Arabidopsis thaliana: one gene and its partners. The protein of the gene in region 2 interacts with the protein of the main gene of each other region in a pairwise test. Each region holds a gene or a part of one and is shown on either strand. Other genes may lie near its edges.

Region 1 (4,653 bases), on a different chromosome or scaffold from region 2:
TTATCATCATCTGCATGATAAATGGTACAAATCTGTGTTATTTCTCTTTGTTTTCAGTTGTAGATAGTAAATTAGGGTTTATATTTGTTTCAGAAATTAGGGGTTTTCACAATTGGGAATTGATGATAGGAAAATTAGTTCTCATAGGTTGCTGTCCAATTCTCTGTTCTCATGGAGTTGTCTTTTCCAACGAATCTGTATTTTTTTTTGTTACAATTTTATTTTGTCTTGTCTTCCTTTGATTGCTGCTATTTCTTGGGATTTGCCGTCGTTTGCCGTTCGTAGAACTAGGATTTTGTCGTTGGATTTGTTTGCAATTTTGTTTATTAGTACACTCAGATTTAATTTTATCAATTTGCTTACAGATTTATTTTGATTGATTACAGTTTTATGTTGGTTAAGTACATATATGTTTGCTTGTTATCGTAAATTTATCTTATGTTTGATTGCAGATTTGTTTTGTATTTGATTACAGACTTGTTTTGTATTTGATTGTAGATTTATTGTGTCTTACGTTCATGACATAACACTTGTTTTTGTTATGCTGTTTTTGTTGAGGTTAAATGGAGAAGTGGATACAGTTGCTAGAATGATTGATGTCTGTTGTGTAAGAATTGGATACAATTACCGAATGGAAGGCTCATAGAAGGTAAAACAATCTTAACCTTATATCTTTGAACCTCTGACTTTTCATGAATTATATTAGATGACTATATATGGCTTTTATTGAATGCTTGTTGTCGGTATGTGGTTGATACTTGGTAGTTGATTGTCATGTCACACTTAAAACAGACACCATTAACTTTTAAACACCAACCAGATATTATTACCAGACACTATTAACTCTTGTTCTTGTTATTTAAACACCTAACCAGAAACACACTAGAAACACACACCAAAAACAATCTTTCCCGCTCCTTCTTACACCAACCAGAGAACTAGTCTATGGATCCATATAGTCATGGATCAAGCTTCATGAACCTCTTAACTAGTCAACAAGAGGCTCACAATTTAGAAACCAATCCGTATGATGATGATGTTTCTCCAAACCAAGCTGCACACACACCTAAGGTGAAAAGAGAGAGAAGGAAATGGTCTGCCGGTGAAGACTTGGTGCTTGTCAGTGCTTGGCTCAACACAAGTAAAGATGCAGTAATAGGCAATGAACAAAAGGGTTATGCCTTTTGGTCACGTATTGCTGCCTATTACGGAGCAAGTCCAAAGCTCAACGGTGTGGAAAAGAGAGAGACAGGTCACATAAAGCAGAGGTGGACTAAGATCAATGAAGGTGTAGGCAAGTTTGTAGGGAGCTATGAAGCTGCAACAAAGCAGAAATCTAGTGGACAGAATGACGATGATGTCGTTGCATTAGCACATGAAATCTACAACAGCGAACATGGTAAGTTCACCCTTGAGCATGCTTGGAGAGTGCTTCGCTTTGAACAGAAATGGCTCTCTGCTCCTTCTACTAAAGCAACTGTAATGTCCAAAAGAAGAAAGTCTGACAAGGCTTCAACCTCCCAGCCACAAACCCATGAAGCAGAAGAAGCAATGTCTCGTCCTATTGGTGTTAAAGCTGCAAAGGCGAAAGCAAAAAAGGCTGTGAGTAAGACAACAACTGTGGAAGACAAAGGGAATGTGATGTTGGAGATTCAGTCTATTTGGGAGATAAAGCAGAAGGATTGGGAGCTAAGGCAGAAGGATCGAGAGCAAGAGAAGGAGGATTTTGAAAAGCAAGAAAGATTATCAAGGACCAAATTGCTGGAATCTCTCTTCACAAAAAAAGAGCCACTTACTGATATAGAAGTGGCTCTCAAGAACAAATTAATCAATGAGATGTTGTCAAACTCATAGTTTCAATTCACTCTCTGTTGCAACATTTTAGTTTCATGTGTCATAATTTAGTCTTCTTTTTGTTTTTGTTATTTCATCTTTGTAATGCTTGAGCATGTTAATCAGTTTTTAAAATGAATGAATTCGGTTTAACTTATGCTAGCTTTGAGTTTTCCTTTTTGTTTAAGTATTCCTCCTGTAAGTTTATAAGTAAAGCTTCTAGCGATTGATAGTATGACAGCTCTTCTTTCATGTTTAGTCTAATTTATATTTCCTTGCTGATCATTGTCATGTCATTCTTGTTCCCTTGGTGACCTTAGTAACAGAAACTAGTCAGTCTTCTTTCCAAGGTACAATAAACAGAAATTGAAGTATGTTTTTATTGTTTTGTGATCCTTGTTAATTCACATTCACCACAATCATATATTTCCTCTGCAACAGCTAGACTAAAGGATGGATTACAAGAACACACAAAGACATGGCTTCTTTTATGGCTGAACTGCTTTAACACTGGTAAGAAACTATCTCTCAATATCCTAAATCGATTATGTTGATAGAAAAACAATTATGTCTGCACTGTGAATGTTCTTATAGGTCCCAGTAATAAGCAATGCTCTTGGTGGAATTCTTGTTGGCCTAGTTACATCACATGCCGGTGGTAGAAGAAAGGTAAAACAAACAAACCCTCCCAATCTGATTTTACACGATCAAAAGCTGAGACATGTAATATCTTTACATCATTTTGCAGAGATTCTCTTTTTATCAGAATCTGATCCGCCGTTATTCCGGCAAGTCTCATGTGACTTACATTATCTCTTCTTAACAACTTCAAGTGACCAAAAAACAAAAGTCAATAACTGTTTTAGTACTCCGAACCGACCCTTTTAATGGCTCCCACGTTTCACTCTAATCATTATCTTTCTCTACTTAGACCCGTTTCCTTCTTCTTATGTTTCTCTGAAACTCATGAAATTTGAGGAACTACTCATGGAAGATTCATCACAGCTACATAGTAACAAGAGACATGACTTAGAGGAAGGAGTAAGCACCTCTGTTCCTAACTCAAAATCTCTATACCAATAATTTGAATGTTTGTGTTTATGCAGGTGATGCATCTTAAAGAGAGACTAGAGGAAGAAGAAGCAGTGACTAGAACTTTACGAGCTGCTTTTGATGGCTCTATTGTTTCTCTCCCAAGTCTCTCCTCATTGTTTCTTCCACCTCAGGCAATACCAATAGACATAATCACACATAATGTTAATTATTTCTTAATGATCAAACAATGATGAGATTTTATTGTTCAACAGTTTTCTGAGCTCTTTCAAGAATTAGCCATCGTGGAGGCAGAGATTCTTTGTCTAGACAGAAAAATCAAGGAGCAAGCATCTTGTGTAGTTGCCTAGTTGGAAGTCCTCAATAATTTGAATTGTATTATAAACATTTTGTGTAATTGCTTGTATTATAAGACATTGTTTTGGAATAATTTAAATTTTTGTTTCTTAAGAACCCAATAGTTCCTAATCATTGGAGTGGAAATTAGTTAAGTTTTTTTCTAACTTTTCTTAACTTAGTAAAAACAACATTTTAATTTAAAATAAGGCTAAGATTGAAAATTAAGAACCAATTGGTTCTAAACCATTGGGATTGCTCTTAAATGCAACAAAGCTTCACATTTCAACTTCTTCCTGTTGACTTTTTCTCTCCCAAAATCACAGATTCATCTTCTTCAAATTTCCTTCGATCAAAAAACCATTACCCTTCAATGGAATCAATCAACACCTTGAAAGGCTACGACAAAGTATCCGACCAAGAAAACCAAATCCATCATCATCATCATTCTCCACTTCCAAAACCATCATCATTTTCCCGTAAAACCCTAATCGCCACCGGCTCCGTCGTATCTCTCCTCTTAATCCTCTCCGTCGTCGCTTTAACCGCCGGAGCTTTCACTCACTCTCCTCCACACCATCCACCTATCTCCTCCGCCTCTCTCAAGTCACTATGCTCCGTGACTCGTTACCCAGAGACCTGTTTCAACTCTCTATCATCTTCTCTCAACGAATCTGATTCAAAGCTTAACCCTGAATCAATCCTCGAGCTTTCTCTTCGAGTCGCTGCTAAAGAGATCTCAAACCTCTCTATCTCTTTCCGATCAATCAACGATATGCCTGAGGACGCGGCGGTTGGTGATTGTGTGAAGCTTTACACCGACGCGTTGAGTCAACTCAACGATTCGATTACAGAGATCGAGAGAAAGAAGAAGAAAGGTGGGAATAATTGGTTGACGGAAGAAGTCGTCGGAGATGTTAAGACTTGGATCAGCGCCGCCATGACTGACGGTGAGACTTGTTCCGATGGAATTGAAGAAATGGGAACAATTGTGGGTAATGAGATCAAGAAAAAGATGGAGATGGCTAATCAGATGATGAGTATTAGTTTGGCCATTGTTAGTCAAATGAAGAAGCTTTTGTTGATATTTCACTAAACCAATCATAAAGGTTGGAACTTTTTTCTTATTTCTCTGTTTTGTCAATTTCGAATTCATAAATGTGTGTATGTGTTGTGAGCTTTCCTTTGTAAGTAACTACTACATTGATTTGTTTTCGGTATGTAATTTTGATAAAAGAGAAATCTTTTCTTCTTGTATTTTACATTCTATTCACTTACTTTGATCAAATTATAGTTCAAAAGGTTTATATCAAAACGAGTTTCGGTGTCTCCTTGTCTTGTCTACTTCTTTCTTGGTTGTGTTCATCAACTGTATGAAGAGAATAAGACTGAAATCTACATTACCGGAGCTTAAGTAGCATATTTGAATAG
Region 2 (6,871 bases):
TTCACAGCATCTGCTGTAGAAGGAGGTGAAAGATCCCTGTTCCGTTCAACAATCACTTCAGCTACTCTCACTTCACGAGGAGCAAGAGCAGGAGGAGGAGAAGAAGAAGATTGTCTAACATTATCCACAACAGGAGGATTAGAGATAACACCATTTTGTCCCTCAGCCAATTTTTGCTTCGACTTCTGAAAACACATCAACATGTCAATATATACAGACTATAACATTAAGTCACATCAATATACAAAAAAAAAAACTTCACCTTTGAATCTGGGCTGAATGCTTTCTTAACACTTGAAAACCATTTAGCTTTTTTCCCCATCTCTATGTAATCCTTCACAGAGAAGAAACAAATTATTCCACAAGGAAACTGAATCTACTGATCTCAGTAGCTAAATTACGACAGATCTCGAAATCTAGAGCTAAAATTCACCAATTGATACTGAATCAGGGAGAGAATGAATCGTACCTATGAGAAGACAGTGACACCAGATCTGATAGACGAAAAAGCTTGAAGATAAAACCTGGAGGAGTCAACTAAACCACAACGCGGCTTCTAAGTAGTGACCTTATCGGAGAAGACGAAAAAGCTTAAGAATCGAATCGATTGGATCTTTGCTGAGGTGCGAAGATAACTTTTCTTCTTCGAATTGCTTTCACATTATCATAATTGCAAATGGAGAAGAGAGAGAGAGGAGAAGACAGATGGATTCAAAGCTGTGTGAAGAAGAGTATTTGTGACGGTGTGTGTTTGTGCGTGATGCCACTTAATTGGGCCTCTTTTGTGGGCCCCATTCTACTCTTCTTTTTTTCCTTTTCTTCTTCTTAATTTACCAACTTCGTCTCTCTTTTACTCTATTCTTTTCACTTTTTTTTTTTAGTGATGAGTTTTATTTCTTAAGTTTCATAAACACTGTTTTGTTAATTTTTCTTTTTATAGTATAGTATCTTTAGATTTATTATTATTTGGTGCATTTCAAAAATAGTATACATAGTTGACATGGTATATTGGTGTTTTCTCTAAAAATGTTTGAAATTTTCTTAAAATATGGATAACGTGTAAACTGGAAAATGTATTGGATTTTGTACCTTTTTTGAAACTAGATAATTTAATGAACAAGTTATGAGGATCGATAAAACAGTGACCATATAAATTTTAAATTAATTTATAACTTTATCCGGTAAGATTGGTCTTTAATTTCACCTAATAAAACAAAATTGTTGCAATAAAAAGTTTTTATTCGTCTTTAATTTTTGTCTTTAGGCGGGTTAAAATATAACACTATATTTTTGCCGTTAAATATCTGTTATTAATCGAATTAAGATTTAAGATCGTATTTTTTGTCGTCAAATACCAATTGTTTATCGAATTAATTCATCTGCATAATCCGTATAAAGTATGTGTGTTTTAATACACGCTTACATTACTACAACCGACAAAACATGTGAACAAAATATGTCCACCAGTGAGACAGCCTTTATCATTTTAAAATATACTCGTTAACAAGCCACCATATACGATACTTAATACTTTCTGGATTTGATAAATCATGAAAATTAGTTGGTCATTGTACTTGTACACCATATCATATTTTATGTTCAGATCCACCCACACTACTAAGTTAATCTCCGATGGATGAACAAAGAAAATATTTGACTCATAATACCTAGTGACACAAACCATAAATAATGCTTTGGAAAAACTCGTTTTATGCAACAGCTATTAGCAGACTGTATTTTGCTCTATGATCGTGTATATCCACCACAAAAGCAATTTCCCAAATTATATGGATTGACATACAGTGAACTAGAACGATGATTGAAAGAGTATATAATTTTTGTCCACTGGATTAAGTATTATCTGCCTGAAATCATTGACTTTTTTCGGAGATAAACCCAAAAGGTTCCTTATCGGTGGCCAGCTTGTACCAGTCTTCCTGTAATTTTTGTGGTTAAGAAAAAAAAAAAAAAAAAAAAAAAGCATATATATGTCCAATCACTCCATGTGGCGTCTTCTCTGTTTCGTTAGTATAACATCCCTAAAATTATTTTCATATAAAATAAGTGAGAACTAGCCGTTGGAATTTGATAATTTATTTTAGCTAATCATATGTCCAACATATCAAAGTCCTATGTATAACTGTTTATATAAAGATATGCCTCTGATAACTTATAATATTAATAGGTATCTGTATATCCAAAGTCGGTAGTTGAATTGGGGATATGGACATTCCACCTAATGTATAATTCAAACTTTGTCGTTGCCAATAAAATAAAAAATAATTATAAGCTATTATGAAAATTTCTCTCCCCGTCGGTCAACTTTGAGTTGGTCTTTGCATTCTAGCAAGTGAAATTTATAAGTTAATTAAACCGGGGGAAAAAAAAGATAACTAAACCAAAATTGAACCGAAAAATCCATTTGGCATTATCTGAAATGTAAGTGGGGCATGGAAATAAGGTCAGGGCCGTTAGCGTTTTAAAGATATTTAGATGAGCCAGTGAGTTTGGTAACGACCCGACATTTAAGTCTTGTCGTTTTGTAACAGAGCAACGGTAGAAGATTCCTATATTGGCTAACACCTAAACCTGAACCCATGATAACGCCATACCTTTTTCTTCCCAGTGAATTTAATTGAATTAACAGTTTACAACTTCATATATAGATTAGTCCATGTCCATCTATATCACCTCAGAGAATTTAATTTCACCACTATTCAACTTTTGTTACTACTTCAGTTCATCTATTTTTTCAGTTAAACATACACATTTAAAATAATATTTATAGTTATAAGAAAACAATTTTATAATAATATTTTTTAAAAGATAGGGTTACGTTCAGCATGAGAGTTTTTGGGAGATTGAGTTGAAACAAGAACTGAGAAAAACATTTAAGAATTGCAAAAGAGAATGAAGAGTTACTGGTTTTTGATCGAACTAGAGATATGAGTCATTTTCTATATTCACTCCAAAATCTAATAAAGAAGCAAACACAATTCTGGTTTTAATTAGCTGAGAAAGGTTCATGATAAGCTATTTCTATGTTTCCTTCAAAACATCATAAAGTTTTTGAAACTGAAGAAATCTAAATTCTCAAACCAACCATATGTTGATCTAAAGTTATATATATGACTTCTTACACCACTGGACGACAGAAGATAATCTATTCTTAGTAATGGCTGATAGTACTTCTTGATAGGGTTTTAGACTGTTTACCTCATTGCTCAATGCTAGGATTCTGAATCAGATAGCGAGCGTTGTGTAAGAGGGAAGTAGTCTCCTCGTTTGATGCATCAAGCAAACGCAACTCCTTGATCTCGTCCTGCCATTTCTCAACATGTTCCTTGTGTATCCTGTTTCATAAATGTGAACAGTGTTACACATGTGAGTGTATAAACATCTCAATCATGGTACATACAGAAACATTATAGAATCTCTTCAAACTCACATGATCAAGCGTTCTTCGAATTCGTTACTGAGTTCCTTGAGCATTGTTTTCCCTGTTTCCAGCAAGTTAGAAACCTACCACAAGAAGCATCAATCAATATCAGATTCTTCCTAAACTTAAGCAATCAGGGAAATGATAAGAGCAGCTTACAGTTTGTGTGAAGCTCTCAATCTTATCGAGAATTTGCGCAATGCTAAGTTCCATCTCATCAGAAGCAACAAGTTTCGTCTCAGCTTCTTCATTCTCAATGGTATGATCAAGGCTAATTCCATCTCTCGAATCTCCTTTTCCCTCTTCATCCTAACAAATTTCACAGGACAAAATCAAAAATCTGATCCACCACAAAATCATCATCACCAGATCAACGACAAATTCAAAAAAAACTTACAGATGCTCTCATGCGTTTCCGAAATCCTCCATTCCCTGCGTCTTCTTCCATTTCAGTGTTCATCAAAACTGCAGTAATTTAAAACGATGCTCATGAACGCATAAACAGATTAAGAATTAAGTTTTCTACTCGATGCGATTGAATCCACTAGCTAAAGCATCGCAGCAGATTCCGATTTCAAAATCTAAAAACCGTACGATTACATCCCCAACAATCTAGCTTAGGATTCTACAATAGAACGGAAGAAACTAGATCGAGATCGACGAAAAAACCTCCGAAAGAGATTAACAGAGAACTTACGCGATGAAGATCGAAGAAATTGCTCAGTACGAATTGGAGAGAAGAAGATGAAGAAGTTTTAGAGAGAGTCCAGTGAGTGTAGAGAATGAGGAAGAAAAGCCAATTTGTTTATTCCGAGAATCCATTTAAATAAGCGTTTAGATTTAAGACTTATTTTATTTTATTGTCTCTGTTTCATAATCATCACTAATTAAGTAATTATGCTTATACAATGCTATTGGCGTTTTAAGTATGGAGGAGTGACTCAAGAATCAAAGCGATTTAGATGCGATTTGATATTAAGCCGAGTAATCCAAACATTTTACAAAAAACATACAGCCAAAATATTCACCTAATCAGATACTAATCGTTTTTTTTATCTATCTCGTCCAAAAAATGTTACAACCTCCGGGACAAAACAAAAAACAATAAACCGGAGGATCGATAAGATATACCTTAAACTAGCTTAACTTAAGAGTGAGCAACTTCTTCTGGCTCAGTGATCACTGCATCGAGAAAGGTTCAAGACTTGTTATAAATATCCCGGGACCTTTTAAAGGGAAGCTCAACGAATACATGTTCAACTGATGATGATGATGATGATGACGACGATGATGACAATAGACGATTTACTTTTGATGAGCTTGGTCCAGCTGATTGTTGTTCTTGTTTTACATCAACAGAATTTTCAGAGATTATGTTACTCTCTCTTGGATGAGGATTATCATTTTCAGCATCACTCTCGTCAAGGATCACAATCGTATCTGCACACAACAGAAAATATTCAAATAAATTTTCTTACAAGAGAGGTTCACCAACATATCAAGAACATACATACATACCTGTTGGAGTGTTATTCACATTATGATCATCCACCATAATAACCTCATTCTTGATAGTCACATTATAATCCTCCACCACAATAACCTCATTTTCGAAAGCCACATCGCTACTCCCTAGACCGGCGAGATTCTCAGCATCAAAAAGCGATTTCAAGAATGAACATTGTGATTCAGCCGCATCAAATCTCTCTTTCAATTCAGCATACTTGTTCTCCATCTTCTTCAGCTTCTCCACTTCTTCCTCTTTCGCAATCAAAAGCTCCTGATTCTTAACACTCAAATCATTGATAATGGCCTCTTTCTCACTGATCATTCCCTTCATCTCCTTCATATACTCCTCTTTCTCACTTCTCTCTTTCTCTAAATCCTTAAGCAAGCTTAGAATTTTCTCCTCGAGTTCCTTAATTTGCTTCTGATATTGAAACTTCATTATCTCGTTCATTTCATTCATCTGCTTAAAACTTTCCTCTATACTTTTGTAATCTTTTTCCAGATTCTCATAATTCTCCTTGAGAATTTCATGTTTTGTCGCCAAAATCTCCTCCTGAACAACCAAATTTCTTCTTGTCGGAGTAGCCACCGACGAGATTTTGTTCTTCCCCGATTTGTTTGAACGAGCTGATGATTTTCCAGTCATGACGTCGAAACCCTAACCCTGGATATCAACACAAACAGCGGTCAAGCTTTTACTAGAGCTTCTTTATCTTTGCCAAATTTACAAAATTTCACAGATTTCTAAAGAAACCCTAAAACTCAAATTCGTTCTAAGCTCCACCGGAAGAAGAACGGGGAAACTAACACTAGCGGATCTTTAAACCAAAATGTACAACGGAAGAAGAAGAAGAATCTTACCCAGAAAATCTTTTGAATCTTCTTCTTCTTCAAACGACCAGAAGAGAGAAAGAGCTAGCTACTGGAAAATGAAAGTAGCTACAGAGAAGGGAAAAAGCAAATCCCTAGAAACAGAGAAAATGAAGCGGGAATACGAAAGGACAACATATTCATGATCAAGTTAATAATTGAATCTTTGTTTAGTGTTAAATTGAACTTAATCCAAATTTTTGTTCTCTTCCCATTCATGTCCTCAAACAAGTAAAATCATTTACTTTAGTTTAGCTTAGATTAAAAAGATAATTCGATATTCAAATAAAATACCACCGTATCTAAAAATCATAATTACATTGACAGTGTATCTTATAATTGGATTTGAAGTGACAAGGAGGATACGACAAAAAGGAATCAAACCTTCGGTGAGACAAAACTGTATTACAAGTAGTTACAACAACAACCCAAAAGACAAAACCTAAAGACTATTGTCTTTCTCTCTCACTCACTATCGTTACAAGCAAACGCTAAGATGACTAGTTTCCTTTTGATTTCATCATCCGACTTTCTTTGTATTCTCACCCTAAAATCCGAGGCGATTTCATTCATCGATTCCATAATCTTCACCAAAGTATTTATCCACAAGACTGTTCGCCATGACTCTCAGCTCTTCGTTCTCATGAAACTGAAACCGTTCCATTGCATCGATACCGTCTTCTCCTTCCACAAGCTTTGGCCCTTCCCCGTTTGGCATTCCTCTTAAAACCTATCCACCAAAGAAATCAAAACCAATTAGGATCATTCCTGTTCCAAATATGACTATGCGACATCAACATATAAGCAAAACTCGTGTCTCATTGAGCTTTTAAGAGCCATTTAATTAGTTGCTTACCAGCTCAATGAACTGAAGACCAAGCCTAGCAGCTTCGATATCAGGAGATCTGACCAGCTCAATGAAACCCCGGAGGCAACCGCCACTGACAATAGAGACTAAATGCTCTTGAATTATCCTTGGTTTTCTGTCTCCTTCTGCAGATTCTACACAGAGATTTCCCAAGACATAGGCAACTTCTTTCCTTATATCAAAGG
Region 3 (5,222 bases), on a different chromosome or scaffold from region 2:
TAAAGCAAGAACCAGGCACACGGCTAATAAGAGAGATCTCATGTTACTTTCTGTTTTTTTTTTTTTGGTGTATTTGTGTTATGGTTAGGGTTAGAAAATAGAGAGGTTATTTATAGATGGAAAGAGTTTGAGATTGGTAGTTGAGGAAGAGTGATTGCTAGGACACGAGTGTTACTGTTAGTTAGTTGTGGAAGAATTTAATGTTTACCTTCAGCCAATTAAGATCCAACCCTCCGGATTCAACTGCATTGTATCTAACAATATTATTTCTTTTTAATTACATTTTTTCTTCTTTAACTATCCAAATTCATCTCTTAATCAATAAAAAAGGCCTACTAAATTAAACACTGATACCAACTACAATGAGAAGAGTTGTTAAAGAAAAGAAAAAGACTAATAGATTAAGATAGGAATTTGGATAGTATTTAATTTCTTACTGGTTTGAAATGCTGTTTAATTCAGTAGTGTATGATTTAATGCCTGATTATAAAATTCAAAGTTTTAAAACTGCTTTGACAAATAAAAAGGATTTCAGTTCTCATCTACATATATTTGGATAGTGTTTAACCCATGTGTGTAGTAATATATATGTCAATATCAACGTCGACAAAAGGAAAAATAATGACAATTTTTAGGCGATGGATATTGAGTTGTATCGCTGCTCATAGTGCATTGACGCTCTAGATAAAGAGATTAATGAAGTGTGCGGTTGGTACGTTTTGTTGTTACAAGTAGTTAAGATAGCACAAATATGAAGGAGCATCTTCGAGTACTAAGAGCTGTGGTGTGAAATTGATCGTTGAGAAACCGTTTTGGTTGGTTTCCATCAAGTAATTTGAGCCGTGGTCCCAATTTTGTTCGGTTTAGCCGATCCTTAACCAAAAACCTGATTCAGAAGAAACATGTATTCGGTTTGATTCCAAATTCTGTAGCTTGTATTATTAAATCATTCCAACGGGCTGTATCCAACTTTTACAACTCTTGAATCAAAAATTAAGTCAATAAAATTCGAGATCAATTGAATAATGTTACTATACTATACACATTCACATGGTATTTATAGTAACATTTACCCTCCTTGAACATTCTGCCTCAGTGTCATACCATTCATGTCGACAATAAAAGTTCCCATCTTAATCAATTCCAAAGTCCTTACAAAGTTAAACGTCTATACAAATTATAATGACTGTTGATCAGAACTTCAATATCATATATCAATTTTCTCAAAGGTATTCATTCTTCTGGTGATATCATTTTTCCTATCTCTAGTCATGTCGGGGTATTTCTGCTCTACCATTTGGTAATTGGTATCAATATGTATGCAACTAATTAGCTTAGTATTAAACTTCATAAACATATATTATACGCCCAATTATAGAAACTCTTGACATGAATCAATCCCATTCTTGATTGTTTCTCTTCAAACAAAAACTAGCCATACAAGGAAAAGGGATCTCTTGTGACAAATCAATCTAGCCAGGAAAGGTTTAACTAGGAAATCGCTAAACTATAATACAAATCGTTTCCCGCATATAGTTCCGATTGCGCTAGCCACTACTAGCCAGTGTTCTCTTGGATTGAATTCCAAGTATATAGACTCGATAAAAAACCTTAAAGAAATTCAAAAGAAGCCTCATCTCCCGATTCTGGCTACTCGGTTTCTCAACTTCCTATTATGCTTTTCCTGGAAGAACCATTGAAGATGTTGTATTGGTACAATTCAGTAACATTTTGCTAGACAACAATCAATAACATGAACAACAAAACCACTTTAATTCTTGAATAGCAATAACATCGAATTTTGAAGATGGTTTTGTACCTGTTGAAATACCCTAGCCGAGCTCTTCTCAACATCAGAAGCCAAGCTCTCGATCTTCGCCAGCATTCTCTCATACATTTCTTCAATCCCGCCTGTGTAATTCGCAGCTTCAGCTCCAACCAAACGTTTCAACTCTCCAACTTGAAACCCCTCTGCTAACGCATCGATCTCCTTCTGATCTTTCGCTGATTGTTTCTTCGCACTCAAGGAACTCTCATCGCAATCCACGCTCATGGCTGAGCTACTCAACTCGCAGATCAACGGTGGAAATCCCGATTTCGGACTAAACGAACCGTAATGGCCTCGAAACGCTGGTCCAATGTTGACTATACCAACGGATCTAGGTTCGAGCCGTTGTTTCGAGGATCGGAACTGGTACGCACGGTACTCGTGCGTGTGAATGCACTGATCCGTCAATGGCATAGTAAGAAGAAAGAACACGGATGAAGCCATGTTCATCGATCTAGGGTTTTGCAAATCCTCGATTGGTAAGTGAAATTGAGACGAGAGAGACGACGTGACGGCTAACTCTCTCATTGATGGACGGTTAGCGGTTTTCCTGCGGGCGGAGAACCACCCAATTAGGTGGTCCGGTGAGTCGACTCGGAGGGAATCGATTCGACGCGAGTCAACTCGGCCAAGCGGATCGTAGAAGGAGACAGTTTTACCAGAGCAGATAAAGCTTGTAACGGTGGCGACAATTTGATCAGATGAGGAGGAACTCGAGGCGATATCCGCCGGAGAATCGTCGGATAGATTAGAAGAGACGATTCGGTGGATTTGGCCGAAGATCAAGCCATCGACGTCACTGGGAGAAGATGAAGCTCGTTGAATCAGTGACGCCAATGTTGGACCCGAAATCTCGATTTTCTCTAGAGAGAGATCGTCCATGGCGACGAGAAGAACACCAAAAGGAAAAGATGTGACGTCACTGAAATCTCTCTCTGTGCAAATAAAAACGAGATAAAAATTGTATCAGCACATTAGGACGACGTGGCGTTTCGTGTTCTAACGAGTAGTTAGCGTGTCGTTTTTGTGAAAGAAAATGGGCATAAATGTCCACACTCGAGGCCCGTTATTCACCTTAAAGCCCAATCAAACAGAAAAACATTTTAAAAGGGAAATATGAAAGGTCAATTAGTTCCTTAATCTTCTGCATTGATGTAGCAGCAACTAGCAACGGTGCTTACAAGTGTCGCCATGTTGTTTCTTAGTTGCAAATTAAGAAGAGAGCAAAATATCTTTTTACAGACTACAAGGAAGAAAACAACACTTCTTAGCTCAGAGTTTTTTGAAGGACAGAGGAAAAAACCAAGAAGATGGTGCATCCTTTGGTTGATAGAGCTACAAGCGATATGCTCATTGGTCCTGACTGGGCCATGAACCTCGAGATATGTGACATGCTTAATCATGAGCCTGGGTAAGACCTTTTTCACTAAAATGTATTTGAATGACTGTAAAATCCTTGGTCCAATGCTCTAGGTGATCAATACGAATCAATGTTCTAAAGGAAAAATGGTAATTGTTGACATTGTGATTTCCTAAAGAGAATCAATGGTAATTTTGTTGATCTCGGTTATACTACATTTGTGTTGATCACTGAAGACTCGGATGGTTCAGATTTGGTTTTGATGTTTTTTTTTTTGGTTTTATTCCACTTTTCTAATGATATGTGAGTGTGTGTTTGTAGGCAAACGAGAGAGGTAGTGAGTGGCATAAAGAAGAGGCTTACTAGTAGAACTTCCAAGGTTCAGCTTCTGGCTCTTACAGTAAGTTCTACTACCAGGGCTTGATATTCATGTTTTGGTTTGGTTTGGTTTGATTTTGGATTCAGTTTCGGTTTTGCATAGAATGAGATGTTCTTACATTATTAATACCAAACTTCACTTCAGTATGATATGTACACAACCAATAGTATTCAGATATTTACTTTTATTTTCTTCCTTTTTAAAAATTTATTTATGAGAAGATTAACATATTTTGGTTTTGTTACTTTGTAGTTACTAGAGACAATAATAACCAATTGTGGAGAACTTATTCATATGCAAGTTGCAGAGAAGGATATACTTCATAAGATGGTGAAGATGGCCAAAAGGAAGGTCAGGCTATGTTTCTTTTAAACGATTGTTTAATCTATAACAATAGTTTTGTGTGACACCTAACTTATCATGTTGTTTGTTAAACTTATAGCCTAACATCCAAGTGAAGGAGAAGATATTGATACTTATAGATACTTGGCAAGAGAGCTTTTCAGGTCCACAAGGAAGACATCCACAATATTACGCAGCATACCAAGAATTGTTGGTATGTTTCATTTTTGCTGTGACATGTCCATTTTAATCGAACCGATGGAGATATGGTTTGAATGTTAGTATTTCGTTTAATTTCTTTTATCTGTTTTCAGCGTGCAGGAATTGTATTCCCTCAAAGACCTCAAATCACACCCAGTTCAGGACAAAATGGTCCTTCGACAAGGTATCCTCAGAATTCTCGTAACGCTAGACAAGAAGCTATTGATACTTCAACAGAGTCAGAATTTCCAACTCTGAGGTGTCTATCTTAATTATTGCTCATTATTTTCTAGGAATATTCAACATAAAAAGATTTGATCAAATAGCATTTTTTTGGTTGAAGTTTGACAGAAATTCAAAACGCAAGAGGAATTATGGATGTCTTAGCTGAAATGATGAACGCAATAGATGGAAACAACAAAGAGGTATATCTTTTAACACCTAGATTCTGAAAATTCATATAACATTTTTCGTTAACATTGAATCTACCAAATGAATGTATTTTCTTTTCACCTTTGCAGGGACTTAAACAAGAGGTTGTTGTAGATCTTGTTAGCCAATGTCGCACCTATAAACAAAGAGTAGTGCACCTTGTAAACTCGACATCGTAAAGATCTGAAACTTTTACCTGCAAAATTTGTTTTGAAACTCTAAACAATTTTGACGAATATATGTTCTTTATACACGTTTTGGTTCATGTGTCAGAGATGAATCTATGCTTTGCCAAGGCCTAGCCTTAAATGACGATTTGCAGCGATTACTTGCAAAGCACGAAGCCATCGCCTCTGGAAACAGTATGATTAAAAAAGAAGAAAAATCTAAAAAAGAAGTTCCTAAGGACACAACTCAAATCATAGATGTTGGTTCAAGGTAAGAAACAGTTCTAGACTTCTAGTTATTAAATGTTTTATTTTGAAATATCTTTGGGTTCTTGACTAAATTGTGTAAAAACTTAAGAATTATTTTGTTGTTGTATTGTGTGTTATATTTTGATGTATAGGCATTGGTTTAGTGGTTAAGGATTGAAGGTTGAAAGATTAAAAAGATTGGCCTTTTACACTCTAAAATATTTTTGAACTTCTTTTGCAGTGAGACCAAAAATGGTAGTGTTG

What was found.
Region 1: the proteins of AT5G03050 (region 2) and AT3G47675 interact in a two-hybrid assay, tested with the Arabidopsis thaliana proteins (one large-scale study listed by BioGRID).
Region 3: the proteins of AT5G03050 (region 2) and AT3G08780 interact in a two-hybrid assay, tested with the Arabidopsis thaliana proteins (one large-scale study listed by BioGRID).

What each region holds. Positions count from the first base shown.
Region 1 is NC_003074.8:17,574,684-17,579,336, reverse strand, and holds AT3G47675 (ternary complex factor MIP1 leucine-zipper protein), read left to right. Parts: upstream 1-2,469; 5' UTR 2,470-2,502; intron 2,503-2,581; 5' UTR 2,582-2,799; coding exon 2,800-2,874; intron 2,875-2,939; coding exon 2,940-3,059; intron 3,060-3,140; coding exon 3,141-3,236; 3' UTR 3,237-3,333; downstream 3,334-4,653. Other genes in the region: AT3G47680 (DNA binding protein), read left to right, coding at 946-1,854; AT3G47670 (Plant invertase/pectin methylesterase inhibitor superfamily protein), read left to right, coding at 3,488-4,318; AT3G47660 (Regulator of chromosome condensation (RCC1) family protein), read right to left, coding at 4,532-4,591.
Region 2 is NC_003076.8:712,085-718,955, forward strand, and holds AT5G03050 (knotted 1-binding protein), read right to left. Parts: upstream 4,264-6,871; 5' UTR 4,137-4,263; intron 3,905-4,136; 5' UTR 3,900-3,904; coding exon 3,837-3,899; intron 3,749-3,836; coding exon 3,599-3,748; intron 3,523-3,598; coding exon 3,449-3,522; intron 3,354-3,448; coding exon 3,218-3,353; 3' UTR 3,217-3,217; exon of another isoform or gene 1,959-3,216; intron 1,938-1,958; 3' UTR 1,143-1,937; downstream 1-1,142. Other genes in the region: iqd2 (IQ-domain 2), read right to left, coding at 1-185, 263-322; AT5G03060 (striatin-like protein), read right to left, coding at 4,638-4,879, 4,958-5,594; IMPA-9 (importin alpha), read right to left, coding at 6,384-6,548, 6,675-6,871.
Region 3 is NC_003074.8:2,664,743-2,669,964, forward strand, and holds AT3G08780 (BRISC complex subunit Abro1-like protein), read right to left. Parts: upstream 2,819-5,222; 5' UTR 2,711-2,818; coding exon 1,820-2,710; coding exon of another isoform or gene 1,772-1,819; exon of another isoform or gene 1,685-1,771; coding exon 1,634-1,684; 3' UTR 1,321-1,633; downstream 1-1,320. Other genes in the region: LTP6 (lipid transfer protein 6), read right to left, coding at 1-42; AT3G08790 (ENTH/VHS/GAT family protein), read left to right, coding at 3,139-3,239, 3,510-3,588, 3,820-3,918, 4,010-4,123, 4,224-4,369, 4,454-4,535, 4,632-4,717, 4,816-4,980 and 1 more.